Lytechinus pictus: one gene and its partner. The protein of the gene in region 1 interacts with the protein of each later gene in a pairwise test. Links are inferred from orthologs where the notes say so. Each region holds a gene or a part of one and is shown on either strand. Other genes may lie near its edges.

What was found.
Region 2: the proteins of kinesin-like protein KIFC3 (region 1) and bystin-like interact in binary tests that used the Homo sapiens proteins (3 or more experiments, as listed by UniProt). The link is inferred for Lytechinus pictus from reciprocal best matches to the Homo sapiens genes KIFC3 and BYSL.

What each region holds. Positions count from the first base shown.
Region 1 is NC_087246.1:61,469,335-61,486,185, forward strand, and holds the start of kinesin-like protein KIFC3, read left to right. Parts: upstream 1-10,046; 5' UTR 10,047-10,366; intron 10,367-12,025; 5' UTR 12,026-12,150; coding exon 12,151-12,174; intron 12,175-16,851. UniProt on the Homo sapiens protein: Minus-end microtubule-dependent motor protein. Involved in apically targeted transport. Required for zonula adherens maintenance.
Region 2 is NC_087245.1:8,158,396-8,175,716, reverse strand, and holds the start of bystin-like, read left to right. Parts: upstream 1-10,038; 5' UTR 10,039-10,286; coding exon 10,287-10,430; intron 10,431-17,321. Other genes in the region: uncharacterized protein LOC135153137, read right to left, coding at 930-1,034, 5,436-5,438. UniProt on the Homo sapiens protein: Required for processing of 20S pre-rRNA precursor and biogenesis of 40S ribosomal subunits. May be required for trophinin-dependent regulation of cell adhesion during implantation of human embryos.

The DNA of each region.
Region 1 (16,851 bases):
GAGAATGTAATAAATGCTTTTTGTCAAATGCAGATCTAGATTGTTCGTAATGTGTTTATTTGTTTTTGAGGATGAGAAAGAATGTGATGAGCCCTGTGTTGCCCCCTCCCCCTCAATTCTTCCAGAAGTTCACTCAGATGATTAGGTGTTAATCAGTGAAAGTTTGATGAAATTCTTCAAAGAATAAGAGAGATTAATTTTTATACTTTCAAATTTGTGACTTCTCATGTAATTAACAGCTGCTCCTTGTAAATGTTATATAATTCAATTAATTACCATTTTTATGGTTCATGATGACTGAAAATATTTTCTTGTACAAGGGAGTGTGGAATGATGTGTCTGATGATCGCACAAAATAATTTTCAATTATTTGTAGAAAATGGCATTTTATGGAATGTATTTCTCATGATAATGGGGGAGCTGCTCACATGTGATGTCACAAAATTTGGAACTTTAAAAATCAATATATTTGTTAATCTTCAATAAGTTTCTTTTGTCCTGCTTTTATAACCAACATTACGTCAGGATGACTGTTTCCTTTGATTATTTTTGTTAGTGTTTTGGCTTCAACAGAAGGCCACATGTCAAGAAATGATGGGTCATAAATGTTCAGGCCCCTCCTTTATTTCAAAGAGCCCCCTTGTGATTTTTTTTTCACATTTGGTACAAATTATGCAGTAATACCACCTTTGTGTTGAGGATGATGGGGTAAAAGGTTATCGGGTTTAAAAGAAGTTTTTGTTCAACTTGCTCTTATTTCTTTATTTCTGCATCAATTATGGTCACACTTCGTACAAATGATCCTTGGATAATACCACATGTGTGTTCATGAGGATGATGGGGTCAAAGGTCATTTTACTCATCTAGGGGTAAGAAGGTCAAATAATATGAGATCATGTCCATCCTTTTTTTTCAACTTGCTCATATTTCCTTATTTCTACATTAATTATTGTGTTTACACTTGATACAAATAATCATTCGGTCATCTCGGGGTCAAAAGATCATGTTGCACACTTAATTGATCGCAAAATCAGGCGAGACTCTTGGTTCATTAACCACCTTGTGTGGACTAGACTTTCAAATATAGGTTTAAGAGAGCAGTAACTTGGCAGGTCCTCAAAAAGTATCATTTTTCATCCAAGTGATATTCATGGCTAGAAAGGTTGCTGCTCTAAATATATATATTTAATTTAATGATTTTGGTGTCATTTCATTGTAAAGAAAAATCATTCTTTCAGGTCATGTGTTGAATTTATTTAAAGATTTTGTAATGTAGGTGCAACTTATGATCTAAAACAGGCTAGTAAATAATTATTTTTACCTAACAAAAGTTATTCTTTTAACACTTTATTTTTGTTTGAGCCCACAATGATTTTTATATCATGATAAAGCTGAACATGTATGTTTTTAAATGATATATGTTTCAAAATAAGAATTGGTTATAATTGGTCAAGATCATACTTTCATTGGCCAAGGACAAAGCAGCTTGAAAATGAGAATACTGCACTCTGATTGGTCAAAGAGACCACACACCCACCCAATTTCCAACAGTTTCCATGCTGGACACCTCCAATGTCACACTCCCCAGGGGCTGCGGAAGTGGGGGGCTTCAGCCCCCTCCCCCCCACTTTTTTCCAAAACTGTGTACAAGATCGTAAAAATTACCATTAGTAGACTTGTTAAGAGGTTGAACGCTGCATTTTTTAGTACAAATGTCCCACTTGGCACAAATGTTCCTTGAGTCAAAAGAAAAAGATTCATCCAAAGAGACACGCTGTATCTATGCAAATAAGCAAGTAATTTGCATAAATTTGCATATTATGTCGATATAGTAAAAACAAGTATTTCAGAATATATATTTAACCAGAACTGCCCTAAAATTGGAAATAAAGACTTAGGGTAAGAAAGGGAAGAAAATTGTCATAAAATAATTGGGATATCCTTGTTTATTATTACCTAATTTACATAAATTATGCAAATTATAATTTAAAACAGAGTATTTTTTCATGAATCCTGAACTGCATTTTAAAAAAAGCAACTAATACACAATGTCAACATTCTACATGAAAGAGAATATATTAGCGAAAACATCGATATGCTTTATGACAGTATTAGTGTCTTAATTTGCTTAGAAAGAGGGCAAATATGTCAAAATGTATGACGTGATATTGCGCTAAAACGAGACCAAAACAACCTCTATGTCACAGTCACACCATGGACCTATCGGACAATAAAGCGATCAATGGTATGTCATTCGAGATAACAAAATCTCAACACAATAGCTTCCATCGGCTTCTCGTATCGCTTTTGTTGGTGTGTCTGCCACACCGTAATCTATGATACATACGTACAAAATGCATTTCGGTATCGGTAAAACACTATTAATTTTGTTTTATTTGTTTCTAATTTGTTTCTCTTGGAAAATTTACAGGAGACATTGCTTTGCAGGTTACTGCTTTAATGAAACTCTGGCACATGAATCATGACGAATGTATCCTACCTCAATCCATATTTAAACTTTATTAAAATATATATCTTTTTGGAGACCCCGAGGTGGCAAAACTGCATCCCCGCGGCATTCCCGCCACAAAACCAGTTTGACTTGTATAATCGACTTGGAAAAGAAAATATGAGACATCAGTCAACATGTTTCCTGAAGAAAGTTTTTTTTTGTTTATTTAAGCCTACGCCCACGGGAGCCCTCCGAATTTACCCCATCCCCTCTCCGTATTTCGACTTTAAATAAAAAAATATCGTGTTTTAAAACCATCGGCAAGGCAAATTGCGTTTTTTGGTATAATAAAGCAACTATTATATCTATATTTTTATATTCTTTGCATTCTCCTCTTGAAAAAAAAAACATAGAAGGCATTGTTTTATATCTCTTAAAATAAGTTCGTGTACGTGACAGTGGCCTGTCGAAGTTGCCCAACCGTTTATTTGGTTTCGACAATATATATTTAGAATATCGTCTAAATGAAACCCTCATCTGGAAAAGGGCACTTATTAAATGCAGCATCTACATTATATAGAGGAAGCCCTGGCACTGGGAAGAGGGGGCTGAAGCTTGTTAAATTTCTTCGGACCAAAATTTTACATTGAAACTTTTTTGCTTTTCAAATTAACATCAAGAAATTTAACAAGCAAATAAACAAAATGGATTGCACTACAAAATGAAGGGGTTTTTTTGGTAACATTTCTTTTTTTCGTTTTGTCACATCTGCCGGAATTCGAGGGGGTGCTGTCTATGGAGAATAACACACGCAGCACAGCCCCCCCCCCCCCCCTTCAGAAAAATCTTGCGGGTGCTTCAGCCCCCGCTTCCAAGTACCAGGGCATCCTCTATATAATGTAGATGCTGCCTTTAATAAGTGCCCTTTTCCAGATGAGGGCTTCATTTAGACGATATTCTAAATATATATTGTCAAAACAAAATAAAGGGTTGGGCAACTTCGACAGGCCACCGTCATGTACACGAACTTATTTTATGCGATATAAAACAATGCCTTCTATGTTTTTTTTTTCAAGAGGAGAAAGTAAAGAGGCTTTACTGTGTGTAGTAGAAATGTATCTTTCTTCCGAATGGACTCTAAAAATATTTAAATTTAATATAGAGTGGAATCAATAAAGGGGTATTTTAGAGCTTACGTGTGGCTTTTCTTCAATGTATCACAGCTCTTCTACATGTCAATTGTAGAGTATTTTCACCTCAATCTATTCCAAGATATGAGTTCTAAAGACAATAAATTATTTTTGAATACATAAAACCAAAAGGGGAAAGGATATCCTAGGCATGCTCCTGTTGGGTTATAGCCTTTACTGTGCTAGAGCATTATTACAAACTGCAAAACAACAACAACAATGATAATAATAACAATAATAATAATAATAATATTAATGATAATAATAATATTAATATAGATAAATATGAAATATAGATATAAAAGTTGCTTTATTATACCAAAAACGCAATTTGCCTTGCCGGTGGCTTTAAAACACGATATTTTTTATTTATTTAGTGTCGAAATACATAGAGGGGATGGGGTAAATTCGGAGGGCTCCCATGGACGTAGGCTTAAATAAAAAAAAAACTATCTTCTGGAAACATGTTAACTGATGTCTCATACATCTGTCTTTTCCAAGTCGATAATACAACTCAAACTGGTTTTGTAAAGTAGCGGGAATGCCGCGGGGAATGCAGTTTTGCCACTTTGGGGTCTCAAAAAGATATATATTTTAACAAAGTTAAAATATGGATTGAGGTGGGGTACATTCGTCATGATTCATGTGCCAGAGCTTCATTAAAGCAGTAACCTGCAAAGCAATGTATCCTGTAAATTTTCCAAGAGAAACAAATTAGAAACAAATAAAACAAAATTAATAGTGTTTTACCGATACCGAAATGCATTTTGCCCGTATATACCATAGATTACGGTGTGGCAGACACACCAACAAAAGCGATACGAGAAGCCGATGGAAGCTATTGTGTTGAGATTTTGTTATCTCGAATGACATACCATTGATCGCTTTATTGTCCGATTCGTGAGTGTGACTGTGACATAGAGGTTGTTTTGGTCTCGTTTTAGCGCAATATCACGTCATACATTTTGACATATTTGCCCTCTTTCTAAGCAAATTAAGACACTAATACTGTCATGAAGCATATCGATGTTTTCGCTAATATATTCTCTTTCATGTAGAATGTTGACATTGTGTATTAATTGCTGTTATTTAGAAAACAGTTCAGGATTCATGAAAAAATACTTTGTTTTAAATTATAATTTGCATAATTTTATGTAAATTAGGTAATAATAAACAAGGATATCCCAATTATTTTATGACAATTTTCTTCCCTTTCTTACCCTAAGTCTTTATTTCCAATTTTAGGGCAGTTCTGGTTAAAAATATATTCTGAAATACTTGTTTTTACTATATCGACATAATATGCAAATTTATGCAAATTACTTGCTTATTTGCATAGATACAGCGTGTCTCTTTGGATGAATCCTTTTCTTTTGACTCAAGGAACATTTGTGCCAAGTGGGACATTTGTACTAAAAAATGCAGCGTTCACCCCTTTTTTTGCAGTTAACAAGTCTACTACATATGATTGTGATATTTTGGTCAGCCCCCCCCCCTCACTTTGAAAACCATTCCGTGGCCCCTGCGTCCCCATGCGGTAATCTCTTCAAATTACCTGCACCTGCTAGCTGTTTTGAAACCCTATCCAGCTAACCAGGACTCTGGATTTTAGGCTACTCCAAAATGTTATTAATCTGGTCTTGTACTTTGGTGGGAAAAGTGTGATCTAGACCCAATTAAAAGTTGCCACATATCAAGAGTGACATTGTGAGAAAGTACAGAATTCCAGCTTCTGATAATATAGATATTATTAACTTAAGACTCAAAATAAAAGGTTTTGCATGATTTGCAAAAGAAAACAGGGGAAGAAAATTCATGCCTGAAATTCACTATTTATCAAAATAGTCAATACAAAATAAATGACTAATATGAAAGAGGAACATTTACTCTGTCCAATGGTGCAATGATGTTTAATTTGACTTGATTATACATTTTTAGAGAAAAAAAATCTGATTCACAAGATTTTGCAGATGCAGCCATGAAAAAAAATTGGATAAATCTAGCATATTTGCTCATTAGCAGGGGCGTACATAAGGGGGGAAGGGGGGCTCTTCCCCCCCCCCAAAAAAAAAAAAAAAAAAAAGTTGTGACCAAGAAAAAAAAAGAGAAAAGGAAACGGAGAAGAGTAAAATATTTTATTTTCTGAATGTGAACATCTATCACAAAATGGATTTGTGTCATAAAAATGCTGAAATTTTTGCTCGCTCATATTTTCAGAATGCACATGTTGCACTTATTGAAATCATTTGACAATAAATACTATCGTGTATAGACAAGGGAGAAAATGGAAAAAAGAGGGGGTAATAAGGTGAAATATGATAGTTTTCAATAGTCAAAATCTATCCCAGAATCATATTTTATATCATAAAAAAGGTCACAAATTTTGCCCATTCACTTCTCTCCCTTGCATATATTTTTCACAAATTCCCGAATCTGGCCCCATTGATAATTTTGGCTCAATACACCACATAAAGTCATAAGTTGTAACTAAAGCCAAATATTTTGTTACCTTCAAAATAGTTTTATGTCAGCCCTCCCTCTGCGTCTCTAACCCTTCCTCTCTCGGACCTCGATCCTCTTATACCCTACAAAACTCCGTTAACCTCTTGCTTTTCTACTCACTCTTTTTTCTCTGAAATTGATAATCCTTATATATATATTTAGTATGTACAAAAGTCAAATTCAACAAAAATCATGAAAATACGATACAATGATTCCAGAAACAAAACATTTATGAAAGAGCATGCTTATATATTATGCTTATCGAATAGCAATAAAATAAAAATGACAATAAAATAAAAATGCAGGTGTCCATGCAATGATATCGAAGTACAGATTTCTCCGCTGTAAGTTTTTTTTTAGTGTTTTGGGTGATTTATTTTTCTCCTCCCCATTTATATCTCTGGAAATAAGCTTCTGAGCTTTCGTGGGTTATCCTGTTCAAGCATACTATTTGATGGATAAAATCAATTACTTTAGGATGACTTGGGAAATGAAATTAATCAATCAATAATATAAGTAAATCAATCAATCAAGTTATCAATCAATCAATAAACCGATCAATCAAACAATCAACCAACAAATCAATGATCTATCTATATACCTATCTAATTATCTATCTATATATCTATATCTATCTATCATTCTATCTATCTATTATTATTTCTAGCATCTTCTTCCTTGTATTCTTCATTTCTTCTCATATCTCAGTTGACTCTTGCTACTACTGTTTTTGTTCTACATGCAGTTCTCTTCTACGAAACGATTTTTAAAGTGGACACCCCTAGTAATTAATTCATCCTAGAAATTGTCGATAATGTTACCATGGTAACTTTCTTTTTCGCACGCAGCGATGATGAGCTGAAAATTCGGAGGCACCCCACATCAAGGACTATGTAATCAGGCGTTCGTAAAACATGTACTTCCACTTTTGGTGACGGCCTATCACAATATTGTTTTTCAATGACTATTGTCTGTTGCAAAGGTTGCTTCAGTCGTATAAGATAATAAGGAAATTCACAAAAGTACCCCAAAAAATTATGAGCAAATGAGGATTATAATGAGTCGAGATTTGTTTAATGAGAACTCAGGCTCACTGGTGAGAGGTGAGATTAGAATGGAAAAAAAGATGGGACCATGATCGGGAATAAGGGGGCCTTTTTAATATATATCATGGGCCACCACAGACAATGTTTGATAAACACATCCAAAACCGAAAAAAATAGTACAGAAATCGAAATTAAAAGGAAAATAATGCAGAAAGGGGTAATATTTACATGAATGATCTTTGAAATCATATTCAGAGATGAGACAACATTGAAATTCTGGGAATAATTCCATTCACAATAAAATATTTATAAAATTTGATTTAAATTTTAATAATACAGGAAGGGACACAGCCGGCCCGTGTGCCCCTTCCCCTTGAGAGCCATAATAAAAACTTGTAATGTATACCGCTTTTAGTGTGCCCCCCCCCCCTGAATGCTGTCCTAAATGTTTTATTAAAGGCATTTTGTGATCAGTAACTCATTATAACCATACTCTCGTGATGCAGCTGATAAAAACTTTGCAATAAGGCCTAACAGTGGAATTTGTCATGGCCATTCCGTAAAGGGGCGGAGTGACCGCTCGAGAAAATCTTTTGTTTTTAAAATGCATAATGGGTCAATTTAAACACTTTTTAATTGAAATGAACCCATTCATTAACATCGCAATATTAATCTTTTTAAAGGATGTTTTATTGTATTCTCTCAAATCAAAATACACATTCACATTCCATAAGCAAGTTGTACAAATTATTTGAAACATGATTATAAATTATGCAATAAATCCATAACCCATAGAATTATAAAAATTATACATCAAACTTCAAAGATACCGGAAATTAATACTGATGCGTTTCAGCAATTACAAAATGAAATATTAAATGACAAGAGAGGAAAAAATATATAAAAAGGTGATGTTCTACCTCCCACCCCCGCCCCCCCCCCCCCCCCACGTCCCCAGGTATAGGAGCACCCTCCCCTTTATGCCTACTCTACATGGAAGGGATTCCAATCCTCCGTATTGTTCTCGTTTTTTCTGTGTTTTTGTTTATTTATTTTTTGTTTTGTGGTCTTGTCTGTCGCTGTATATATACCTCGATCGATCCGCCTCACTCTCCCTATATATTCCTTTAATTTAGATTTTCCCATTTCCTTAAATGTAGAGACATCTTGCCTCTACCTATAACGCCACTGATTCTGATGATCGATTAACAAAATATCTCTTGGGCAAGGGGGGGGGGGCATAATTTCCCCCCTGGCCACGCAGTTCCGCCGCTGATGGCCTATATCCCTATATCACCAGCAGCAGCAGCAGCCTATCATCACCACTATCATCATCATCATCACCACCACCACCACCACTTCACAGGGCTCCCAACTCCCACTCATTGAGAGTGAGACTCACTCATTTTGGTCCTCTCTCACTTAAAGGGATGGTCCGGGCTGAAAATATTTATATCTTAAAACATAGAGTAGAATTCACTAAGCAAAATGCTGAAAATTTCATCAAAATTGGATAACAAATAAAAAAGTTATTGAAGTTTAAAGTTTAGCAATATTTTGTGAAAACAGTCATCATGAATATTCATTAGGTGGGCTGATGATGTCACATCTCCACTTTCCGTTTTCTTATGTTATTACATAAAATCATATTTTTTTCATTATTTCATACTCGTGTGAATAATATGTCTCCCTTATAATGAAATAAATTGCAGCAATAAATATTTAGTGCACTAAATCAGTTGTCAATCCAAAATTTCTAGTTCTTGGGAGAAAAAAAATTGAATAAACCTAATTTCATATAATAAAATACAAAAGAACAAGTGGGGATGTGACATCATCAGCCCACCTAATGAATATTCATGACAACTGTTTTCACAAAATATTGCTAAACTTTAAAATTCAATAACTTTGTCATTTGTTATCCGATCTTGATAAAATTCTCGGCAATTTGCTCTGTAAATTCTACTCCATTTATTAAGCTATAAATACTTCCAGCCCGGACCATCCCTTTAACTCAAAAGTTTTGTTTCATTTGCACGCGCATTTCTATCGATCTCACTATTTTGACCGACCTAAATCATGCCATTGTATGTTACACTCTCAACTCGCCCAGTGTTGGTACCGCTGTCATTATATGTATATTTCTATATAATAGCCCCGATGTCATGTTACCAAAGTGCAAGCCTAATGATCTTGTTCAATCGGCTTCTTTTAATTCCCCTCAGTCTTATGCAATTTTTGCACTGCCATCCGCTGGCCTTTTACCAGGGTACCCGCGGTGAGCTCATTTAGGCCTATATTTCTACATAATTATTTATACTTCTCTCTCATTAGGCTTATCTTACTTTTGAATTGACCCCATTTAATTTAGGTTATTGATTAAAGCCAATATTCTGTTTTATTACGTTTTCAAAACATCGTTTATTTTGTGAATTTTCGGCCTATAATACAAACTGATGAGGCACAGGGGTAATTTGTTGCACCTTATCAATTTTTGTTGTTGGAATTACGGGGAAAGTTATTTGGTGATCACGTGCACCCCGCTTTTATTATTATTCATTTATTTATTTATTTATTTTGGGGGTCAATGCTAGAAATTGTCATTCACAAAGGTAAGTACATGTAAAAAAGTTTTCACTACAAAATGGAAGTAAAATTGGTCTGGAGAAAAATTTGAAAAGCAAAAAAATAAAGTTTCACTACAAAATGAAAGTCATATTGGTTACATTATTCCATTTTTACACATCTATGGAGAATACTACACACAGCACCTCAAGGAAATTTTGTTGTGCTTTCACCCCCAGCACCCCCGCTTCCAAGGGTCATCCCCCCCCCCCCCCCAAGCTGATTCCTATACAGGTATGCCGTCTTCAAATTCCAAAGTGATCGGCTGGCGGATACCACTGTATTGTACCACTGATTTTCAGTTCAGTGTATTGTACACATCCGGCTTCTTTATTGCCCTCAATCCTCATCGCCTCCAATCAAAAGCGTCTCGTCTCCATAACTGCGATATCGCTAGGAACGCTCAGGATCTCCTGTGCGTGTCACCGGCAACGCAACCGGCCGGCCCGGTCGATCGAGCTTTTACACTCGACTCGTGAGGATTTGACTCGAGACCAGTGCGGTGACTTGGAAGCCAACTCTATCGAAGGAAGGAAATATTTATTTGCGTGGTAAGTAGCTCTCAAATCATAATAATTTAAATGTAAATGAGTTTCGCATTAGTTTCATGTCAAATTGTATTGCTTTAGAATCCGGATATCTCGACTTTTCGAGTATAAGGATAAAATTTATAGCAGAATACTTTGGTCTCGAATCAATATCAGCTCAGTGCAGTGTCGAGTGTGTGCGACAGTGCAGTTTTGTCTTGGTAGGATAGGATGGGGGGTTGGGTGTCCGGACACTATATTTTTGAAGCCTTCTTTTTTGTCTTTGGATTACCCTAAAAATATGAATTCAATAGTTGTAATCATCTTCTATTTTGTTCTCTATAATATTTCCTACATTTTGTACTAAAAATTGATGAAACTTCGCCTGTGATTTTTTTTCAAATGACTTCCTAAAATTGATCGTCCGGACACACAACCTGTCCGGACACACAAAAACTGGGTATACTGTCTGTATGGGGATTCGTCTGTATAGCCGCCTCAATTCTTGAGGCCGGGTTGGCGATCAGCTCTCAATAGATTGCACTGTCTGGAAATGGAAAGATGCCCATATTTTAAAAGAAAACCTTGAAAGTATTTTGATGTATACTTATAGTGCATGTATGTCTGATATCTGTATCGGTGGAATTTATTTGTCATCCTTGGAAGTTGGAATACTTTTAGCCTTTAGGCACATGATTTTTATACTTGTAATTTATTGCATTTGGCCCAGTGTTTCCACTTTTCCTGAAATTCAGGAAATTTTGACTTTTTCTAGGAAAGGTTTGGGAAATGAAAAAATTCTGGGAAATCCAAAAATTACAATTCACAATAATTAAACGTAGCAACTTTTAATATTCATGTAGCTCAAAATTTTCTGCTCGCGCTCCGCGCTCACATTTCATAATTTTTTTCCTATTTTAAAAGAGGGCGTACACAAAAAAAATGTACCTTGACTTTGATTTCCTTGATTTTGGTCACTTAGACCAAATTTAGGCTTGCTTTATTATTGCCCTACTTGTATTTTTGTTAAAAATCAATCTTGAAACTTCAAGGAAATGTCTATGAATTTGGGGAAATTTGGCATTCAGTTTCTGGAAATTTGTTTTGGATCTGTGGAAACACTGATTTGGATTCAGTCCGTCTTTTTGACCCAATTCGTTCTTAAATGTACCGTATGTTTAGCTAGCTACCATTTACTCTTCCAGACCAAGTGAATAGGCCTATAAGTCAATTTTTTTATCCTTAAATTCTGTTGAATTACCGGGGTAAGTTTTTTTTTACGGAATAAAAGGTATTGATTCATAATTCTAAAAAATAAATTGAATCAAGCAAGTTTGAAAGTGGGATGCAAACCCATATGTACTACATGTATGCCTTTTCATCAGTAGGCCTTCAGTGAAGAAATCTGACCCGACAATGTTATCGCCATGATTGATGACACATTTGTGGACTCTATATCCTTGGTAGCTAGGCTTGGTACTGTAGGACTTGCAAATTTGAGGATTACTACTGGGCATGTCAGCCAACAAAATTTAGTTTATTATATCTATAGGTCTACATGTATAAAAACCTAATAGCCAGTGCATATACATGTAGGATGATCGTGTTCATCTTTCTTGAGTTGCAGATTCTTGTGTCCAGCTTTCTGTCTGCATTATTTCCTATTCTTGATTTTTCTTGTAGATGGTGTGTTCGTGATGATGATCATACATGTATTGGTAACAAACGTACCGAGTATGACTTGATATCTTCAAAGTGCATGTCAGGCTTCAATAAGTGTTGATTAAGAAATCCATCAGATCCTCACCATGTATCATCATACTAGTCCCAGAGTAAGTACTTCATTTCCTTGTAATTACTTTTTCTCTTTTAAGCATCATATCACCAATATACAGGGATGTAAACTATATGAATAATCATGAAGTGATTGATATGTGGATATTTATTTTCATATGGATCAAAGTTACTTCTCTGATGAATTAATTTGATACATGCTGTATAGATATAGTAAAAAAGACAAACCAATAAAAGCTTATCCGGCATGTTGTTAAAGATTGAATTATAAGTCCCTATTACTATTATTTTGTCTATTAAAGTGGAACAGATGAGAAGAGAGAGATGCTGTAGATTATTGGTTGTTTGATCAATATAATTTTTTTTCGATGTTTTCATAGATATTGAAGCACTCTTGCGATAGTTTCAAATGCCTGCTTTTAGGTTAATTTCCCAGTAATTACTAATTTTCTGTCAAAAATATTATAGAAATTATGATTTTTAAAGAAATGCTCTCAAAAAAGAATTTGGCCCCGATTTACAAATGTGAATAAACTTTTACCTAGATGGAAGCAGAATTTCATGTTTAAAGTGCACTTGATTCTGCTCTTTGAAAGGTCAGATAATGCATGCATTCCTTTGATAATGGGTGCTAAATTTTATGTCCATTGACGATGGTTTGTCCTAGAGATGATTAATATTATTGTAAAGTGTTTTTTTTTAACTGTAAGTTTATGAAATGATATATTGATGGCTTTAAACTTACCGACACTCCCTCCCCCATTTTTTGGTTAGCTGTGCATTCATGTATTTAAAATATCTCCCTTGGATATTAAAATTTTTGGACTTTGTGTTTTTAATGGACAGAACACCATTTTGAATGAACAAAATCATTTAAAATGTATGAAATTTTGTGTCTTATTATCTAAAAATGTGAAACAATTACTTAACCCTAGCAATAGGTGTAAATTTGCCCAAAATGCTAATTATTGGAGCTTTTCAAGTGTGGGTAATTATCAAACAATACACACCCCACTGAACCCAGAATAAAGCTAACAGATATTTTCAAATTCTGGCGTTTGTTCTCATTTTGTTAAATTTGTTGGAATTCATTATATGAGAGCTGCATGTACATGTAACCTCACAGAAACTTCATGATACGTAACCGCTAACTAGTCGCTAGCTTGCAGCGAGCTAGCTAGTGTTAGCTTAATAACTTGGTAATAGGCATGCAGAGAAAAGTGTTATTTTAGCGAGCATGTACTGTTTCTATCTTGCAATCGAATGTTAAGCTATACTAGCTAGTACTTGCATGAAGTGAAAGAATTTTACTGACTATATGAGAGAAAGTTGTAAATATAATTTTGTACAAAATAAATATTCATAGTGGGTTTGAAGTTTTGAACTAGATACATACACCAGCTTTTATACTTTTGGCAATCAATATTTCTTTTCAAGGCTAATAAGCGGCATTTGCACGCCATAGATTATAGATACAATGAGAAAATCAATGTACAAGTGACAATATTGATTTCTGTTCGTCGTCTATATATATTACGTCATGTAACACTTTGATTGTTTATTCAAACTTATTGTGTTTATATCTTGATTTACTTGCACTTTATTACCCAGCCTTAAAAAAGTTGCTTCTTAGTTTAATTTTAAACATTTACTTCAGCTCTTGAGCACTGCAGAAAATAGGCCTGTAAAAATTAAATTTGGCAATTTTTAGGTAAAGTTGTGACTTGTTATATTTTGATCTGCATTGTATAGTATTCAAAGTTCACACTAATTGTTGTATTATGGGTAGTTGGGTACTATCAATTACTTAGAATCATGAATTTTGATTTTAAATCAAATCACTTGGGATTTATTTTATGGATTATGATATATGTGCATAATGTGAGTTATGGATCAAAGGTTCACTGGAAGTATAGGCCTACATGTATAGTAAAACATCTGAGCCAACTTTTAGAAATGATGTCATTCTCTTTTAACGATTCTTTGATTGCAGTTTTGATTAGTTTTACATTTGAAAAAGAACAAATTTTGTCACTTGAAAATTATGTAAATTAACATAATTTGATTTTTATAAAGACCAATTTTCTCAAATTATGATATCTTTGGAAAATGATCTTCACTTGGTGAATAATTTGACAACTGGCACCCCATAAAGTGTGGTTTTAAAGGAAACCAAAAACCCCAAAAGAGAAGCAATCTTATTGGAAAGAGTAAAATGAGAGGAGCAATTAAAAAAAAAGTTTCATCAAAATTGGTTATGAAATAAGCAAGTTATGGACGTTTAAAAAGTTTTGTGGTAATTTCTTTCTATGGAGATCCTCAAATTGGCAAACGTGCTTCAAAATGGCTGATTTTGTGGACAACTCTCCATTTGATTTGTACACAAATTATCAGATTTTCCCCTTTATTTTACATATTTCACATTATCTCTTCCTGACCTAGAAATATGTGGTGTGAATTATATTTTCCCATGGCATATGTTGTGCTCAGAAGGAGGCAAGACGCAATTAGAATGATAATGAGGAAAATCTGAAAATTTGTGTACAAAACAAAAGGAGAGTTGTTCTGAAACATGTTTGCCAATTTGAGGATCCCCATAGAAAGTACAACAAGAGTTTTCAAACTCCCATATTAAACTTGCTTATTTCATTACTGATTTTGATGAAACTTTTTAAATTGTTCCGCTCATTTTACTCTTTCCAATAAGATTGCTTCACTTCTTGGGTTTTGGTTTCCTTTTAAAAAGGGGAAGACTGACAAAAAGTGTATTGTATCAAAAGCAGAAAAAGTAGTAAAAATATATTGGTGAAGGTTTGAGGAAAATCCACCAAAGGTTTAAAAAAGTTATACGAATTTTAATTTTCTGATTTGTGACATTATATGCGTGCAGCTTTCCCATGTATATCGATGTAAAAAATTGTACCTTTAGTATATCAACAGACAAATATTATAATTTTTATTACGGCAGCTGCTCATATATGATGTCACAAATCCAAAACTTCAAATTCCTATAATAATTTTCTTAATCTTTGATGGATTTTTCCTCAATCCTTCAACAATATAATTATTTTTAATGGTGTTTTTACAAGAAATTTTTCTTCAGGGTGAACTATCCCCTTAATGCAACCTGTATGATAATACCACCCCTATTGTTTTATAGGTCTTTCCATCAACTTCCCTTGTGAAACCATGGAGGCAAGTACTTGTAGAAGTTCTGCCTCCATGATGAAACTATGCTATGGAAAACTTATATTTATTAATCCCATCATGCCTATATAAGAAATTAAGAAGCAGATTGTAGTCCATGTTTGTTTAAGGGTCGTTTAATCTCTTGAGATTGGGCATGGTTGCTTAGCAACCACACAATAATGAAATGAAGTGTGATGTCTGACACTGTCTGTATTGAAACAGCTGACGCTTGCTTTGTTTAAGAGAAGCAATCCAGATTTAATTTCAAACTGCCATTGTTGTGACTTTGTGAGTCAAATTTCCCTGTTAGGTAGAAATGAGCTAGACTTACATGTATGTACAGATGTAATTTCAGAATATTCCCGCCTAGGAGCATCATGGTGTAGATATAATTTTAAAATCAGTAAAAGTTTATTTTTCTATCAGTTTGACCGAGGAAGTATCACTTCATCTTCCTCCTTGGTTTTGACTGCATATTACTGCATTGTCTTTTTTATCATATAATTGTAATTAATCTACATGTACACTGTAGTCTTCTTAGATTAAATGATCACACTCAGAAGTGCACAATTCTATTTGTTATTTTTCAGATGGCCAGTTTCTTTATTTCAAAGAAATTAGCTATAAGGATAAATTTGCAAAGAAAGGGGTGATAATAATCCATTAGATTCATACAGTGCACATACACTGTAGGTGCTTCAAAAAGAGAAAATAGGCCTACATTACAATTTGAGAAAAAGAGGTACAAAAGAAATTAATCAGATTTTCATTGGTCAGATTTTGTTCAGTATTTCACTCATTAATACCTACCCATACAGTTATGTAGTAGGCCTGCATGTATTAGCTATTGATTTCATATATGTGTACTTTATTCATGTTTATTTTGTTCTTTAAAAAAATGAACAAAATAAACATAAATTTTGAACCTATGGATTTCATAAAATTTATGGATAAATAATCAGTTGATACATTGTTTTGAATTAAGAAATAATTACAAATGATATTAAAAGGGAATTAGTTAATCTATTAAAAAAGACAATATATGAAAGGTTTCATAATTTAGCACTCTTTTATCCTTGATAAGTACACTTATTTATTGTCTTGAAGATCAGTGCTTCGATCTAACTTAGGATATGAAACTATGGAATAAGAAATATTCTCCACTCTCCAGACTCAACAAGCATTGATTGCTGCATTTCAAAGGCCATCCTTATCAAAAGAAATGACACCTGCACAAAGGTCAATATCTTTATATAAAACCAAGCAATCAAGGACCCTACAATGTAGACTGTATAAAGCAGGAATTCAGAGTGCTTGTTCAAATCTATGTGTTAAATATCAAAAGTCATTATAACAGGTGTTTGTATTCAGGAGCTTCCAGCTGCATCTTTTAAAGATGAAAATTGTATTTTGGTTAACTTATAGATGCTGGCTGCTTTATGAAATGCCAGTATTTGAAATACTGGATTTTTACTATGACAGGTCTGCTCTATGGATTTTAGAATTTTCATTTCAAGAAAGTCACA
Region 2 (17,321 bases), on another chromosome or scaffold:
TTTCATATTTCTCCCCAAAACTACTCTTCTGTCTTGTAAACTGCATTCTAATATGACTTTGTATACTAGAGCCCTATTTTAAAACAAGCTGTAGTACAATATAACACATGAAATCATTTCACTTGATGTCCTTGATATACGCTGGTGGTTAATGAAATGAAAAATAAAGATCTACCAAGATATTTTTACATGACAAACATGTATAGACCTCATAAAAGAAAGTAAAATTTCACAGAATTGAAAAAAAATTATAAAGAATTTCAAATATATATATCAAACAATTTTTCAGGAAATTAAAGAGTAATAAGCAATTGAAGATTGCAAAATGCCGGTCTATTTATAGTTTGGTCCTAAATGTTGTTTCCTCTGTTAGCTATACCTAGAAAAGCACATACGTGCTACTGTATTGACTATAATTTCAAGCAAGCCTGAAATATTTTATTATCATTAACCAGCGCTGTATGGTAGCACACAAGGTTTGCTTCCAAGTTCCAACCATTTAATATAAACTTTTTGTTTCTATACAAGGACTTGAACTTTATAATTTTGAAAGTACATACAGTGCTTTGATTTAAAGTCATGGCAAACAATGCAGTCCATATATACACTCAACACAATGTCTAAATGATTTGCAACCATTAAGCACAAGCAGAATTGTTCCAATTACCCCAATACCAGAATTAATTAACATAAATGCATAACTTCATAATATTTTCTAATTGACAAGTGCTCACATTCTGATTCTTTATCGGTAAAATGACAATCAAACAATCAGTTTACAAAGATCTATAGGACAAACTTTACTTGATTTGTAGGACAACTTTGTGTAGTGCTTATACATGATGGGCAAAAAAAGAATTGCAATTTTAGAAAGTAGTTTCTCTGAGTATCTGTCACTAGTGTTGGAAGAAAATTGAAAGCTTGCTTACATCATCAGAAGTTGATGTACATGGATGATTGGATTCATTATCAGTCTTAGGTGTGCCTTTACCGCCTTGATCACTAGGACGTTCTCCAAGAACAGTTCGAAGATACTGCAAATAAATATATCAGTAAATGATTCAATCAGGTACAGGTATTAAAGAATGCCATAGTTGGTTAGTTCCATGTATCAAAAATTGACAGAAAAATAAATGAGGGAAAATACTCTGATGACCTTGCCATCTCCACCCTCATACAATGATTTTTTTAGACTAAAATTTTAAGATGTTAATAAATCTAAGAAAAAGCAAAGCAAAGCAAAAGACCCATAATCTAGATTACCAAGGTAAGCTCATGTGTATAAGCAGCAAAGTGGATTAATTCAGGAGCCTCAGCCCTCACAATGGACAGTTCGCCAGTCAAGAACAATGCCAAAACTAGTAGGCCTTTTTTTTGTTTGAACAGCATTCTTTTTAAAACACCCCTGTCTATAAAAGGATTGATGTTTTTATGCTGTTTTCATTGCTTGGTTTTTAAATTAGTATGAATGTACCAAATGTCTTATGAGTGCCTCCGATATAAAGGAGTTTTATTCAAATGAGATAAATCAATATTAAACTTCTTTGTTTTCCTGAAAACACTTCACATACAGGTCCAAATAAACTTAGTCCAAATGCTTTTTACAATTCACACACTTTACAAGACATTGCCACTAGGCAGCATTCATCAATGGGAAGCATGAAATATTAGTGTAAAAAGTCCAACCACCTTCCAAAGTAAATAATAAATAAATAAAATAACAGGCGTTTGCCGTTTGGTTAAAGACTAGATGATAATGAATTAAGTCTAAGTTTTTTATGATTGAATAAAAATAAAAGAGCAAAGAAAAAGACCAAAAATCTTTAGCTACCACTACCAGGTCCAGGATAAGCTAATCTGTAAATAAACTGCATTAGCAAACAAAGTGGATTAATTCAGGGGCTACAGCACTCACAATGGAAAATTGATCAGTCAAGAACAAAGTCAAAACTGATAGACTCTATTTTCAAACTTTTTGTTTTCCTATATTATGATAAACAGGACCTTGCACACGCACTGTCTGTCTCCAACACTGCCTCTAGCCTGCCCAATCCAATGGAAACATGATACCAAGAAAGAAGGTCATACAAATCATGTACCGTAGTAGCGTTAGTGTTAGCAAAATTAGCAGCCTTCGAATTTCAAAACAATAAAAAAGTAGGACTGTGACTTTCACACACATCATGGCACTGGCAGATCCAGGGGGGCACAGCTTTCCCGTGCCCCCCCCCCCCCGCCCTTTGAGAGGCACAATTAAAATTTGTAATGTAAAAACGCTATTAAAAATAACAGTATAAAACAGAATCCCCCCAAATTTTCCAATCCTCTTTTTTCCCTTGTCGTTTTTCCCACCCCCCCCCCCTTTGACAAATCCTAGATCCGCCCCTGAATCATGGCCATATACTGTCGGGGGAGAGCACAGCGCACTGAACATTCGAGGCATGCAGCAGCTAAGGCTGCGGCTGCTAGTCATGGGGAATGGCAAGTCCAAGGGAACACCACCACGGTCGTCAGAATAGATCGATGGCTGCAAAAAGTGCAAGCAAAGCGCGGTCTAGATCTAAAGAAACATACCAATTTGAATAAAGAAGTCGGGGCAGCTACATGATCTTTTCATCGTCATCAGTAACCCTTTTTTACTATCATAATTTACAAGTGAAATCAAATCACAAATAGATGTTTTATCGCGAGACATTCACATCAACAAACAAACAGCGGTCTGCATGTGCAGAGACTACGCCACAAGACGTATTTGTACACACGCAATCAAAGCAAAACTCACGTGGCCATGGCACTCACTTTTCACAAACAAGCTACAAAACATGTACTTTTTGGAATAAAGACGGGAAAAACATACCTCTTTACAACTTGCTTGAGCTGATCGCTCATCTCTTGATGATGTCGAAGGTCCCGATGAAGATGAAAATGAAAATACCGACGGAACAGCGTCTTCTTTTAGAAGAACCCGCGGTTTGGTCCCCATCAATTTTGCACGAAGATCGACTTCGTAGTCGGACTCCACAAAATGATCGCTACATATCTGGTCATTTGGAGTCCATTTGTAGCTTTTTAGCAGAAATTTCTCTACTTTCACTGCTGCTGCCCATTTCTTGAAAACGTCCGGTCTAGTTTTGGGATTGGGAAATCGGTGGAAAGATTTCCCTCCACACTTTTTTCCAGTTCTGTTGTTGCAGCCGTAGGCCTGGCAAAACACCATCTTGCTCGGTAAATTGCACACTGAACCTATAGAAATAGCGTCTGCTAGCGCGCGACGGATCTCTCCAGGCCAGCGCTCGCGATCGAAGATGTCCGTGCCATACGTCATACCTTCGCTGGGGGTCTACTAGAAATGGCGACTTGCATGAGCAGCAGACGATAATTGAAAGACCTACTTTGGGGTTCGTAATCTTTCAATAACTCCAGTTTCGCTTAACCGATTCGGATAAATTTGGTATCAAATTAATCAGAATCAAACTCTTCATTTGAAAATGATACAGAAATACCAGGGTTGGATTCCCCTTTAAGTTATTTATATTTCCCTGATAATGGAAACCATGAAACTTTCAATTTTGCTTAAAAAACAGTTTTAAATCGCGATCTATAAAACGCTAGTTCACTATACGCAAGGCTCCACATTAACTTTTTTTGGTGGTGGCCCGTTCGGGCCACCAAAATCTTTGAATAATTTTTTTTGGTGGCCCGATATTAAAGTTTGGTGGCCCGAAAAATATAAAGAAAAACATTAAAAATTAATAAATGGGTATAAATGGTTTAACCACTGTAAAAAAAATGAAAGAAAATAATAAAACAGCAAAAAAAAGTGTGAGAAAATTCCTTCCCTAAATTTGCCAAAATGTTGGAAAAATTCACATTTCATAATAATGAAATGCCTTCCCAAAGTATTTTCTTTCTCAAGAGTTGTTTAAGAAATCATTTATAAACAAGAAAGAAAGTAACTGTCTGTTTATTTTTGGCTAGAAAAGACCGGAAAAGACGCAGCTTCGAAAGAAACCAAGTAAAAACATACATACAAATGCACATGTGGGACTGTGATGTACTCACCTATGTGTTTTTATGTATATAATTTTCATTTGGAAATCGGTCTTTTTGAGTCAAAAGAGAGGTCATGATTCCTCTTTTTAATGCTTGCAAATAATCAGGATACACCAGATTTTAGCAAAAAGGTCTGTAGAAGGGCATTTCATTGGTGTAAAATGTGACTTTGACTTGGATTTTCATAGTTCTGTGGAAGATTTCTTAGCAGCAACATTTCGTATCGCAGCTCCCTGAGTCTGAGTAGGCTGCTAACGCACAGCTGCTTCAAGCATGCAAAGCTCACGCCAGCCGGCCGGCGCAGCCGGCTGGATAAAAGCTACTTAATGCTATAGCGGTAGGCCAACTTTGTGTGTGTGTTTGTGTGTAGATCAACAAAAAGGGCGCATGACGAACTGGCTTGCAATTTGAATTGTAGAAAGTTGATAAATGCGTGCAAAAGGGGGAGAAAAATTGCACTAATCTGAAAATTATTGGTTGCCCGGTTCGGGCCACCAAAACTTAATATTTTTTCATTAATGGTTGCCCGAGGTGAATTTCTGGTGGCCCCGGGCCACCGCTAATGTCGAGCCTTGCTATACGTTGGCTTACAGTGTAGGTACGGGGCCCCATCCCCTTCAGTCTATGTATGGTGAGTGGAGCCAACGTAGTTCAGCGGAACAACCAAAATACAGAGACTGAAGCTTTTGGTCTACTACTTAGCCTAACTTAGTCTTAGCTTGTTGTACGCGAGCAAATGGGAGGCTGAATGTCAAACATTCGTACCGTTGCACAAAAGACGTACCATCCAAAATGTACCGTTGCACGGCTTTAGGAGGTGACGTCACATTACGATTTAATTCATTGCGCTGGCTAAATACGCAAGGCTGCCCAATGTCATGTGCGCCTACACGGATTTTGCTTTCTGCTTTCGGTATTTTTGCTCCCTTTTCATAGATTACTATACTAGTAAGTATAGGCCTAGCCGCCTAGCCTAGGGATAAACTCGGCTTTGTTTTTTCATATTTTCGCTAAATTCCGAGGCGTTGTACAACACAAATAGCGAATAATTCTTGTTCGTGCAATGGTGCGAGATTTCGCGTTCGGTGAAAGAAAGAAACGCTCTATTCAACTCGGCTCACGCCTCGTTGAATAGAGGCTTAGACTTTATTTTAGACTTAGAGCATCTTTCTTTCACCTCATGCGAAATCTCGCACCATCGCACTCGTGCCTATTCGCTATTTGTATACCGTACCGGTACCGGTACCGTACAGATTCTCAACAAGAAATGTGGAGCTTCAACAAAAGTAATTTCTAGAGACTAGATTCTAAGGCTGGAGTACGGTGCCAATTTTCACTCTTTTTAAGTAAACTTCACTACAGTCTATTTTCTTCCAACTCACCATCCAACTTTTACTTCTGCTCCCTGTTTCCTCTTCAAAGTAAAATAAAAAATCTCCTTTGTCAAAAATCGCCCACACGCACGCTCACTTGAATCATACATGCAAACTTACGTTGCGTTATTGCGTTGCGGCAAAAACTGGCGATTACCGGCGACCAATAGTAGGAGGGTAACGGTAGCGACCGAAAAAAGATTTAATTATTTATTTTTTAATTTTCTCGAAGGTGCAGAAAGTAATGATGGGGCGCGGATCCAACAATTCCAAGGGAGGGGGGGGGGGGGGGGTGGATTACAGAAAAATTTGTGTGAAATTTTGGGGTTGATATTGCGATGGAGAATATCACTTATTGCATTTTTTCTGCGTACTATCTGCATTTTAGCCTTAGGGTCTACTTCATAACCACCATTAATTTGAAGCATGAACAAGATTATCATATTGAACCATAGAGATGTATACTATACATCTCTTTGTATTGAACCAATAATGCTATAACGCGAAGTACGAGCTGATTTTTTTTTTCTACTGATCCGAAGGGGGCAGTCATTTGAATTATTATTTAACCAATAATGCGAGCGTGAAGCCAGAGCTGAAATTTTTTGTTTCTCTTTGATCTGAATTGAAAATCATAAGGCTGCAGCACCATTTTAATTCATGAACAAGAGGCATATAATGATGCGGTGCGAAGCACGAGCTATATGATCTGAAGAAGGACAGATTTTAATTCAAGCGACATTTGAATCCAGATAAGCCTAAAGTTGTCAATGCAAGCAAAATTTATTGATATGCTGACCTGAAAACGGCAGTTTTGTATCGTGAAAAGGACTTCTTATAAAATTTATTTTCAATTATTTGGAAGCATTAATGCCACTCATATCTCCCTAAACAATATATATTATATATATTGTTACGAAATGAAAGGTTTATTTAATTCAGTATGGTTCGTGACAGTGAAGAGCGTAGAATATATTTTTAATCCCTGTAATATATATAGTTGCATATTCAGTAATCGATTGTTTGTAATCGATTATGTAGGTATTTTCTTTAAAATGTATAAAATTTACTAATTATTTTGCTGAGAAAAAACGATGTTTACAATTATATGCTCATATTATTTACTTTTAATTGCTCCTTACTGTTTGGGTATAAAAAAAGCGACAAACACCATTGCCGTTGCTGGAAAGATTTATTTTATGAATTTAACTGTTTTTTTTTTTTAATCAGGCTCTAGCTTAACAGCCTATAGCTGACAATTTGATGAGAGGCGGTAACCAAAAGTTGACCATAATCGAGCGTGGGCCTGCAATCTAAGCTATGTGGGGAAGTTACAAATTGATGCGGAGGTTCGAGGTTCGGGACCTGGTCACGTCTTTCGGATGGTGGCGTTAAAGGTCGTTCCTAACGTAAAAAATCATATCTGATTGATACACGTTTGACAAAACTCAAATACACACACACATCTTCGGTTACGAGCCATGCCATATGCTTGACAAAGAGGTTTCTGCGCGAAACTCTGCCCAATTTTCAATGGAACCTGCTGGGACAGGATGAGTTTGATTTCTTCAGTAAAGTTATAAGAGCTAGAGATGAATGCTTGCTTCTTACTTGTCGTTATTTTGTTGTATGGAGCTAGCAACAATGGTCGGAAAAGCAGAAGTATGAAAGTGTTGGAAGTACTGACTAGAAGGAGTGAGAATACTGGCTTTACTGAGATACGGAAAATACTGAGATGAGTGAGGATACTGAGAGTACTGAAATTACTGAGATACCGAAATGATTAAATTACGGAGATACTGAATACTAGAATGATTGAGATAATGGAGATACGGAATGACGGAAATGTTGAAATCCATGAGCTAAAATAATCTAAGTTACTGAGTGAGAAGGAACAATTAAAAAGAGTCAGAAGTGCAAGGCCGACGGCCCTTTACACCAACTGGTTGTACAGTGCGTCCCCCAAAAAAATATACACTTTTGAAATGGCTGCCAAATAAAAAATGTATCACTTGGGGGGGGGGGGGAGACTTATATATATGGAAAGCCAATAAAGCCAACTTTCATGCTTGAGCGAGCAGTGCCCACTGAAACAAAGGGTATGGAAATTAGGCTAGATAGGCCTGAATTAGCCTTCCAATTTCTTCCAGTTTGTTTTGTATATTGGCTTTCCCCCGAGGTGATACATTTTTTATTTGGCAGCCATTTCAAAAGTGTATAGTTTTTTGGGGGACGCACTGCATATTGCAGCCTAAACGAACCAGCTCGTCAGGAAAGAAAGTCGGTTCGGCTACAATATATAATTATATATATATATATATATATATATATATATATATATATATAATATATACAAATGTGTGAAATTATACATGTACAACAGCTTTTTTATTTAAATATTTTGTGAAAGAAATGGATGAAGAGAACAATGGTAGGCGTAGCTTAAATCAAGGTTCCCCAGAGCTATCTACCCTTTGGAAAAATTGGCAATGCCTTAAAAAGGTCTCTGCCGGGAATCAAACCCGGGCCCCCAGCTTTGACGCCGGTGCCTTAACCACTAGACCACAGAGACGGGTTAGTGGCTAGGGCGACCCCGATCCGATTGACCGTCAGATAGACAGATTTTCGACACTATATATATATATATATATATATACTGTATATATATATACAAGTACAATGCATTACCACTTTGCCTCATTAATATCTTCTATGTCCAACACGCGGAACGTAATATCGTCATATATATATATATATACGGCATTTACTAAACCATTACAATTATCTTATTCCATGTGCCGAAGCAGTCTATTTCTATTTTACTCAGGTACTTTTTACTGTTAAACCTCGACTGTTGGCGGCGAGGCCTTTTCATTTTCCTGTTTTGGAGGCAGAGAAACGCCTTTGTCATCTTGCAGTCATGGCAACGTGTGTTTAGATGCGTCTTTTACAGTGCGCTTCCTCCATCTTCAGCGCATTGATTTCTTTGAAAGGTCACGTATAGTTTCACAGTCCGTATGCCCATGAACAGATGTGTTTTTCACGATTTGTTTCAGAAACGGATTTTAAATTCTCTTTTTGTCACATCATGGGCACTCATGCATGCATGGGCGGAAATCCCAGGGGGGGGGGTGCAGGGGGACGGGGGGAGGGGCGTCGACAAAAATAGTAGAGGGACACAATATAAAATGCCCCCTACTATTTATGATATTTTATGAGTGAGAAAAATTCATCATTTACAATAAAAATAATGCATGTATTTTGGACTAAATGACCTTACATTTCTTGGTGAAAACCTTTTTTTTGCTTGTCAAATTTTTTTTTGGGGTTATAATGACTTTACATTTTGGGTGATAACCTTTTCTTTTTTTTGTCTGTACCTTTTGGGACAGATTTCTGAGAGCTATACGCTCCTTTCAAAATCTATGATTAATATATATATATATATATATATATATATATATATATATATATATATATATCAACTTCATAATCTCCGTTTTATATATATATATATATATATATATATATATATATATATATATATATATATATATATATATATATATAACGATATTACATTCCGCGTGTTGGACATAGATGATATTAATGAGGCAAAGTGGTAATGTATTGTACTTAGTTCCAACAGTTTATTTTGAATTCCAAATTTTCGACGTTAAACATACGTCTTCTTCAGGGATCCAATAAAGCTCACAGCGAAAAGAACTAAAATAATAACATTCATGATTGTGGTAGTCATGGAACCGCGCACAAAACAGCATCACCATCATAATATAATTAAAAAAACATATACATTTATAGTTTTCTTTGTATTACAAGGATCATTGAATGCATTATCCCACTTGTTTTGTGATGTAATTTCAACCTCTATGATTGCATTTTACGTAAGATTGTAATTTTCAAATTTCTAGGCACTTTTGCATGTCATAGTCTACCCACGTGATGCCGGCCACTACGTCATTAAGAAAGAAGTTATGTTATAGAGGTTGTTTTACCTGACTGCTAAGAAAGCACGAATGCCTGTGAGCAAGCAACCAGGGGACCAACGGCTTAAGGTCCTCTCCGAGGGACCTGGTAATGAGGATAAGTGCGGGGATAAGTGCCTTACCAAAGGGCACTAGCGCACCACTTGGGAATCGAACCCGGGTCACCAGAATCCGAAACCCCCGCTCTACCGACCGTCTGAGCTATCGCGCCTCCCTTAAATGACAGGTTCGGAGGTGTCAAAAATATTTAGTGAGGTTGTTGTACCCGATCTTGGTAAAGAGGGCTTCGTGAAACGGTTAGCGGACAAGTAGCTCACTATCTCTGATTTAGTCAAGAAGTTAGACTTATATGACGGTGTTGAGAAACGGGCCCCTGGCGGCCCGCCTTTACTTTCCCTTATCAACCGGGGGATCAACAACTTTAATTTTAAGTGTAAAGAAAAACAACAAAATTTAGCAAGGCAACAAAACAAAACATGTAGGCAGAATGTACTGACTTAATTTGCCTAGAAAAAATCAACATTTATAATACCCACAAAAAAGAAAGAAATTTGTTTATTTTATTTTATTTTTTAATCTGCTAGCTTCATTGCTTGCGCGTGCTTATTAGTCGCCAGGCGCTAGCCAGAGAGAGCTCGGCTAGCTGCTGACGTGACCGCTGCTATGCTATGCTGACTATACTACTGCATGCCGTAATATATTATAAGGTCTTTGACTGCATGCATGCATGCTGCAACTGCTGCCGAGCGCGACATGTCGACAGCAACAGTACCGGTATATTTTATACCGGTACGGTACACGTGAATTGTGTTAATTGATATTGACATCACAATAGTATTAGTAATATATTATTATGGGGAAAACAAAGAAGAATCGACCAAAAAGAGGAGACCCTGTCTTCACGAGTGGACCACTGGCAGAGCAAATAGAAAATGAAGACACTCTCAAAGTCTCTCAACGAGTGAAGGAACGTAGACGAAAGGATGAAGAGGACTGTGTAAGGCCATTTTTTTACTCAATTAGATCTAGGCGTATCACTATCAGTCCCATACATGGGAATTCGTGTGTGTCGTGATTGAAGACAACCGAACAGTTCAATTTCAAGCCTCAAGGTTTAGTTTTTGGTTTTGAAATGTCATAATTTAGAAAGTATATGTACCAATTTCATAAAATGTAGACTTTAAGGGATACTTTGGGCTGAAAATATTTAAATCTAAATAAATAGAGTAAAATTCACAGATCAAATTCAAAATGCTTAAAATTTTATTAAAATCGGATAACAAACAGTAGAGGCGCACGACCAATATGGGAGACTCTCTCCAATAGGGGAGACAATCTCCCACATTGGAGACTTGCTTTACAAAAGGACAAAAGAAACAACACCAACAAAAGCATGATTTTTTCCACCCCAAATTTTGTCTCACTGACTGACTGAGGTCAGAAGCCCATTTGTTTTGTGTGTGATTGACAACAAAAATCCTTATCAAAAAGTAGACGGTGAAAAGGGGTAATTTTTCATGAGGAATCTGCTTATCACATTTTTATTTGCCGCCAAGGTAATCCTTTTGCAGCAAATGTAAACAAAGGAAATTGGATTCCAAAACTGGAGACTGTCTCTAAAATTGGATACCAAAATTCTTTACAAAAGTCTCTGATATTGGAGATAATCTCCCACATTGGAGATAGTCTCCAATATTGGCCGTGCGCCTCTACTGACAAACAATGTTATCCGATTTTAATAAAATTTGTTTGAAACATGACAAAGACCAAAGTCAAGATAGAGACTTAGAGAGTAAAGAAGACTAAAGTGCCCAAATATCGGACACTTAAGTATAATTGGACCAAAAATAAAATACATTCATTGAATCAAATAAAAATAATGTTTATTTCTGTAGTATAAATGTTGAATATCATAATGTATGTCATCACGCTCTAACTTTTTTAGACCCCAAAATAATTGCTTAATTGTTGATAAAATAATTTATTTTAGCTGTGCAAATGCCGATTTTAATTATTATTATTATTATCAATAATTTTGATATAGAACTCGGTAAATAATGATGATTTACTTACAGGGTTGTTTGATTTAAATCATGTCGATTTAAATCATGATTTAAATCGCGATTTAAATCACTTGATTTTTTTCAAAAAAATCACTGATTTAAATCAACTTTTATGAAAAAAATTAGTTTTCTCTATTTTCTCTTCTTCTTAACAGATACTTTCAATGTAATCATTTTCATTTCTGTTCCACATGCTTTAGAGATACTTTAAAAGAATGATACACCCTCATGGAGTCTGATTTAACACCACTGTTTTATTTTCAAATTGTAAAACAAGCAAAACTGATGAAAACAACAAGTTTCTAACGAAGTAATGATAAATAACTCTCTGTATCTACACCAAACTGTTAAATCTTCAATAAAATAATATATAAAATCTACAAAGGTGCTCAAAGTCCACAACTTGGATACTTTTACAAAACAGTTGAACTACTTGTATGTACCTCCTTGTTACTATTAATACCCATTCTTTCAAAAACCCTTTGTTTATTAGCTATTACCAGCTGTTAGTTGGGAAGTCCCCCATGTGATAGTTCTAGGAAATATTCCTAGCTAAAATCCCCCATGTGATAATTCTAGGAAATATTCCCAGCTAGAATTCCCAAGGGCAGTATAAGAACCCTAACAGGCCTTTAATAATGTCAATTTTGTTGGAAATTCTCAAGTTCTTTGAGTACTTCATGCATTGGAGTAACACTTCGGATGTTTTGAACTGACTGATATAAAAATTTCAAGAGTTTAAATGTATACATAATACATAACATTACTTGGGCTTCCATAAAATGTCCCTCTCTATAATGCAAATAAATAAAAAAAAAATAAAAAAATTACCTGTATATAAGTGGATTATTGTGTCAAATAGTACAATACACAATGTTCAAAAGACTACTTGACCACTATTATTGGTGTAAAACAGTTTAAATATAGTTTAAAACTTGTTAAGTGTGACCATTATTTTTCGTTGGAAAAAAATCAAAAAAATCTGATTTAAATCATAAAAATCAGATTTAAATAAAAAAAATCAAAAAAATCAACAACCCTGTTTACTTACCAAATGGACCTCTTTTGTTTTGGCTCCGAACATCGGATGTCTTCGCTCAGTTGCATGCAACTTCGTTCTGAAAACGAGCGCGCGCACCTCAACAGCTCGTGTTTCAAATTCAATCGGCCGATATGTTTGATTTTTAGGATCATGCCATATTTGGAAGGGTGTCAAATTTCCTGCCGTAAGGAACCCCCGCGGAGGCCATTGCAGATTTTTGGGTGATAGAGCGAACATGTGCGATCTCGGCAGCGATATAGTATCCTTAAATTAGACCCCAAACTAGCCAATCTGGAATAAAATTATTGGAAATGGTTTTTCAACTGATTTGAGTAGGTATGGGTGTCAACATTTACCAAAAAAAGTTAGGAGGAATACGGGATGGGGAAAGTGTTTTTTTTTCAAGGTCAATGACCTTTTCATATATACTGTATAGTGGTATCTCTGAGATGGAAGGGTGCAGGTTGGTGATAATGGTGTGAAAATGCACAAATTCTTACCAGAATATCAAATAAAATAAAATTTATTGCCTAGAATGCACATTCACCGATGAAATTCAAGGTCAAAGCCTTTCAAAGGTCAATGACCTTTTTTCCATTATATACCATTCCGTATAATGGTATCTCTGAGATAAGGTACAGGCTGGTGATCATGGTGTCAAAATGTACAGATTCTTACAAGAAGATCAAATAATATAAATTAAGTATCTAGAATGGACATTCACCAATAAAATTCAAGGTCAAAGCTTTTCAAAGGTCAATTATTTTTTACATTATATACCATACTGTATAATGGTATCTCTGAGATGAAAAGGCACAGGTTGGTGATTATGGTGTCAAAATGCACAGATTCCTACCAGAAGATCAAAAAGAATAAAATTAAGTACCTAAAATGCACATTGACCCATAAAATTTAAGGTCAAAGGTCAATGATCTTTTATACATTATATATCATATTATATAATGGTATCTCTAAGATAAAACGGCGCAGGTTGGTGTTCTTGGTGTCAAAATACACAGATTCTTACCTGTAGGAAGACTAAATTAAATAAAATTACCGTAAGTAACGGACTATAAACCGCACCCGTGGATTAACCGCACCCCAATCCTTCTCACATTATATTTGAGGTATGAAGAAACAAAAACTAAGTTAAAGATTTCAAAGTATCCAAAGAGATTACCGGTATGCGGAAATCTGCTGTTCTTGATCAATTCATCTACAAATGTTAGCAAGAAAGATAGGTCTCGACAATATTGGCCACTAACACACTCACTCACCTCACAGTCACAGTGTACACACACACAGCAATGCTGTTGTTGTACATCGCAAACTACAATACGGTACCACTACCAGTACATCTTATTAATTAATGATCTGTGTCTTTCCCGGCGTAGGAGGAAGAAACATTCACATTTCTTGCATCACAAACTCACAATCACTTTCATAATTTGTCTAGCATTTGATGTCTTAGAATGAATTTTTGATACGGGATTACAGGAAGGTTCAAGAAACAAAGAAATTGGCATTTTTTACAGTTGTTTTTAAGGCTTCGTGCCGTCTCTCTCGTGCGTGGTGTACATGGTATCTTATGAAAACCAAACGGGAAAGAAAAAATAAGCTGGTGCGAAACAGGACTTTGGAGGGGGATCGAGGGTTATAGCGCCAGCTTAAGTCGCACTATAACCATATACAACGCAAGCTAGCTAGCTCAGCTCACTCAACTTTCGCGCTCGCTCAGCTGTGACAAAATATTACCGAGTATGCTTGGCATCTCTTTGAAAGGGAACTTCGCTGCTTTGAACCGAGAATAAAGTCAAAATTAGTGTCATGAAGGTGGGTGCGTTTGTTATGGACAATATTTGTAATAATCGTAATAATCGCTTCTCATTACCCGCGGCTCATACCCCTCTAAACGACATTGCCCTGGGCGGCTACGCCCGGCCACTCGATGTGTTGTGAACTGGCAGACGTCTTACATGTTCGGGAAGGGTTACGGCGGGCTGGCTCAGACCCGTCACCGTGGATAAACCGCACCCCCGACTTTTGCTTCTATCCCGCCGAGAAAAAGGTGCGGTTAATAGACCGCTACTTACGGTAAGCATCGAGAATGCACATTCACCCATAAAATTCAAAGACAAATGTAAATATCCTTTGTAACATTAGATAATAATAATGGTATCTCTGAGATAAAACACCGCAGGTTGGTGATCTTGGTGCCAAAATGCAAAAACTTGTATAAGAAGATTAAACAACACCAAAATAAGTATAAAGAATAAACTTCCACCCTTGAAATCCAAGATCAGAGGATATATATACTGTATATATATATATATATATATATATATATATATACATATATATATATATATACATATATATATATATATATATATACATATATATATATATATATATATATATATATATATATATATATATATATATACATATATATATATATATATATACATATATATATATATATATATATATAGTATATATATATATGTATGTATATATATATATATATATATATATATATATATATATATATATATATATATATATATATGTTAGTATATATATGTATGTATATATACAGTGCGTCCCAGAAAAAACGAAACCGAGATTAAGCGATGATTTATCATAACTAAATCACAAATGCAATAGACAAATGACCTACCATTGTAAAGCTTAGAATCTCCTCTTTCATCTGATATTACTGAGATTATTCCTCATTCATGCATGAGTGAGCAAAAACAATTTGAAGAAAGGATACCAAAAACTAATTTGGCGAGGGGTATCTGAATTTCAAAAAGAAAATCACATGCCTAAAAAGTTCAATATCTGCTCTTTTATATGATACCTTAATCACAAAATTGGTCAAGAAGTACAAAAGTTATGTTCCCTCGAAACAACGCTTGTATTTCCATAATTTCATTAAATAAACGTGTTTTCACCGGTTTCCCACAGAAGCTATCGCATGGTTAACAAAAGACATAATGCATGGCTGATCGTCAACAAAACGGAGTGTCGAGTGACTTTGACGCTAACCTGTAAAACCTCTTCATTTTATGAAATTATTGAAATTCAAGCCTTATTTCAAATAACCAGAACTTTTTTATTTCTTGACCATTTTCGGTAATTGAGGTATCAAATTAAAGAGCAGATACTGAACTTTTCAAAAATGTGGTTTTCTTTTTGAAACCCAGATACAGCCCGCCAAATGACTTTTTGGTATCCCCTCTTCAAATTGTTTTTGCTCATTCATGCGTGAATGAGAAATAATCCAAGTAATTCCAGATGAAAGAGGAGATTCTAAGCTTTACAATGGTAGGTCATTTGTCTATTATATTTGTGATTAAGTTATGATAAATCATTGATAAATCTCGGTTTCGTTTTTTGTGGGACGCACTGTATATATATATATATATATATATATATGTATGTATATAATCTGTATGACATAAAAATAACCAATAATTTATCCTTTGTGTTCATATTTTATTTGTGAATAATGTAATTAAAGATGGCTAATTTGTAATTAAAATTTGGAGGTTTCATGATTTCAGTCTGAAATAATGAAGGTCATGGAGAATGGATTTAGGGGTCAGAGGTCAATGAACCCTTTCCAAAATATCAGTGGAAATTAAGTTAAAAAAAGTTGATAACCAAATAACACTTCTTCATATACTGCGATGCGTTGCCAAAAGCAATAAAACAATGAAATGAAGTATATAATTTGAAATATTTTTTATCTTAAGTAGCAGCATTTAATGCATAATAATATCTAAATCAAGGTTGTCATGTCTTTTCTCTCCAGCGATAGGCCACTCACCTCAATGCTATGAATAATATAAACTATTAGCTTAATCTTCTACTAGGTATCATTTTGTACAAGGATCGTGTATTTGGTCCAAAACAACTGATTGTTATGCACAAATTACCGGTAGGCATATAATAATAAAATTCAAAAGGAGATGATAGATTACAAGTACACATCCATCGACCTAACAAAACTCTTACAGCACTACTTCCAGTTCTTGAGAATCAAGCTGTGCAAGATATCAGTAATAATAGATCCTGGTCTGATATCCCTTGACAGAACATTAGGCTTTCATTGAATGTGCCAGATCAAAGTCCTGAAAATGTCAGAAGGTTTTCAAGAGTTTTATTACTCTTTGCTGAAGTTGAGAGTTGAGACACTTAACTTCATTTACTATGACAAAAGCTGCAGCTCTAATTATTGCCTTATTTCACTTCTTCATCATTGTCCCTGGCTATATGAAAATGTTCTCGGATGATGCTTGCCATAAGAGTTAGGCCTATCCTTTCCATTTACAGATTAAGTTATAGTTTTATAGTATTGATTGTAGCATTTGAGGTTAGTGACCTATTGCTACAGAGAAATTAGTACCTTGATTTAGATTTGTAAAATGCATATCTAAATGCTGCTACTTTAGACAACTTCACCATTTCAAATTATATCATACATGATTTTTTTACACTTTTGGCAATGTATTACTACAATATATATTAAAAAGTGCTATTTGATCTCAATTTCACCTTGAACTTTTATTTTGACATCATCATTGGTCAAGGATTCAACTATTAAATTTGTGTTCATTTTCCACGCAGGTCAGTCTTTTTCCCATCAGAATCACTATACCTACATGCCACAATCACGTTATATCGACCTATTTATTTAAATTCCCTGACGTTATTGATATAGTTGATTGACCTCTAACCCCTAAATATATTTTTTATGGCCATTTTTTATCCT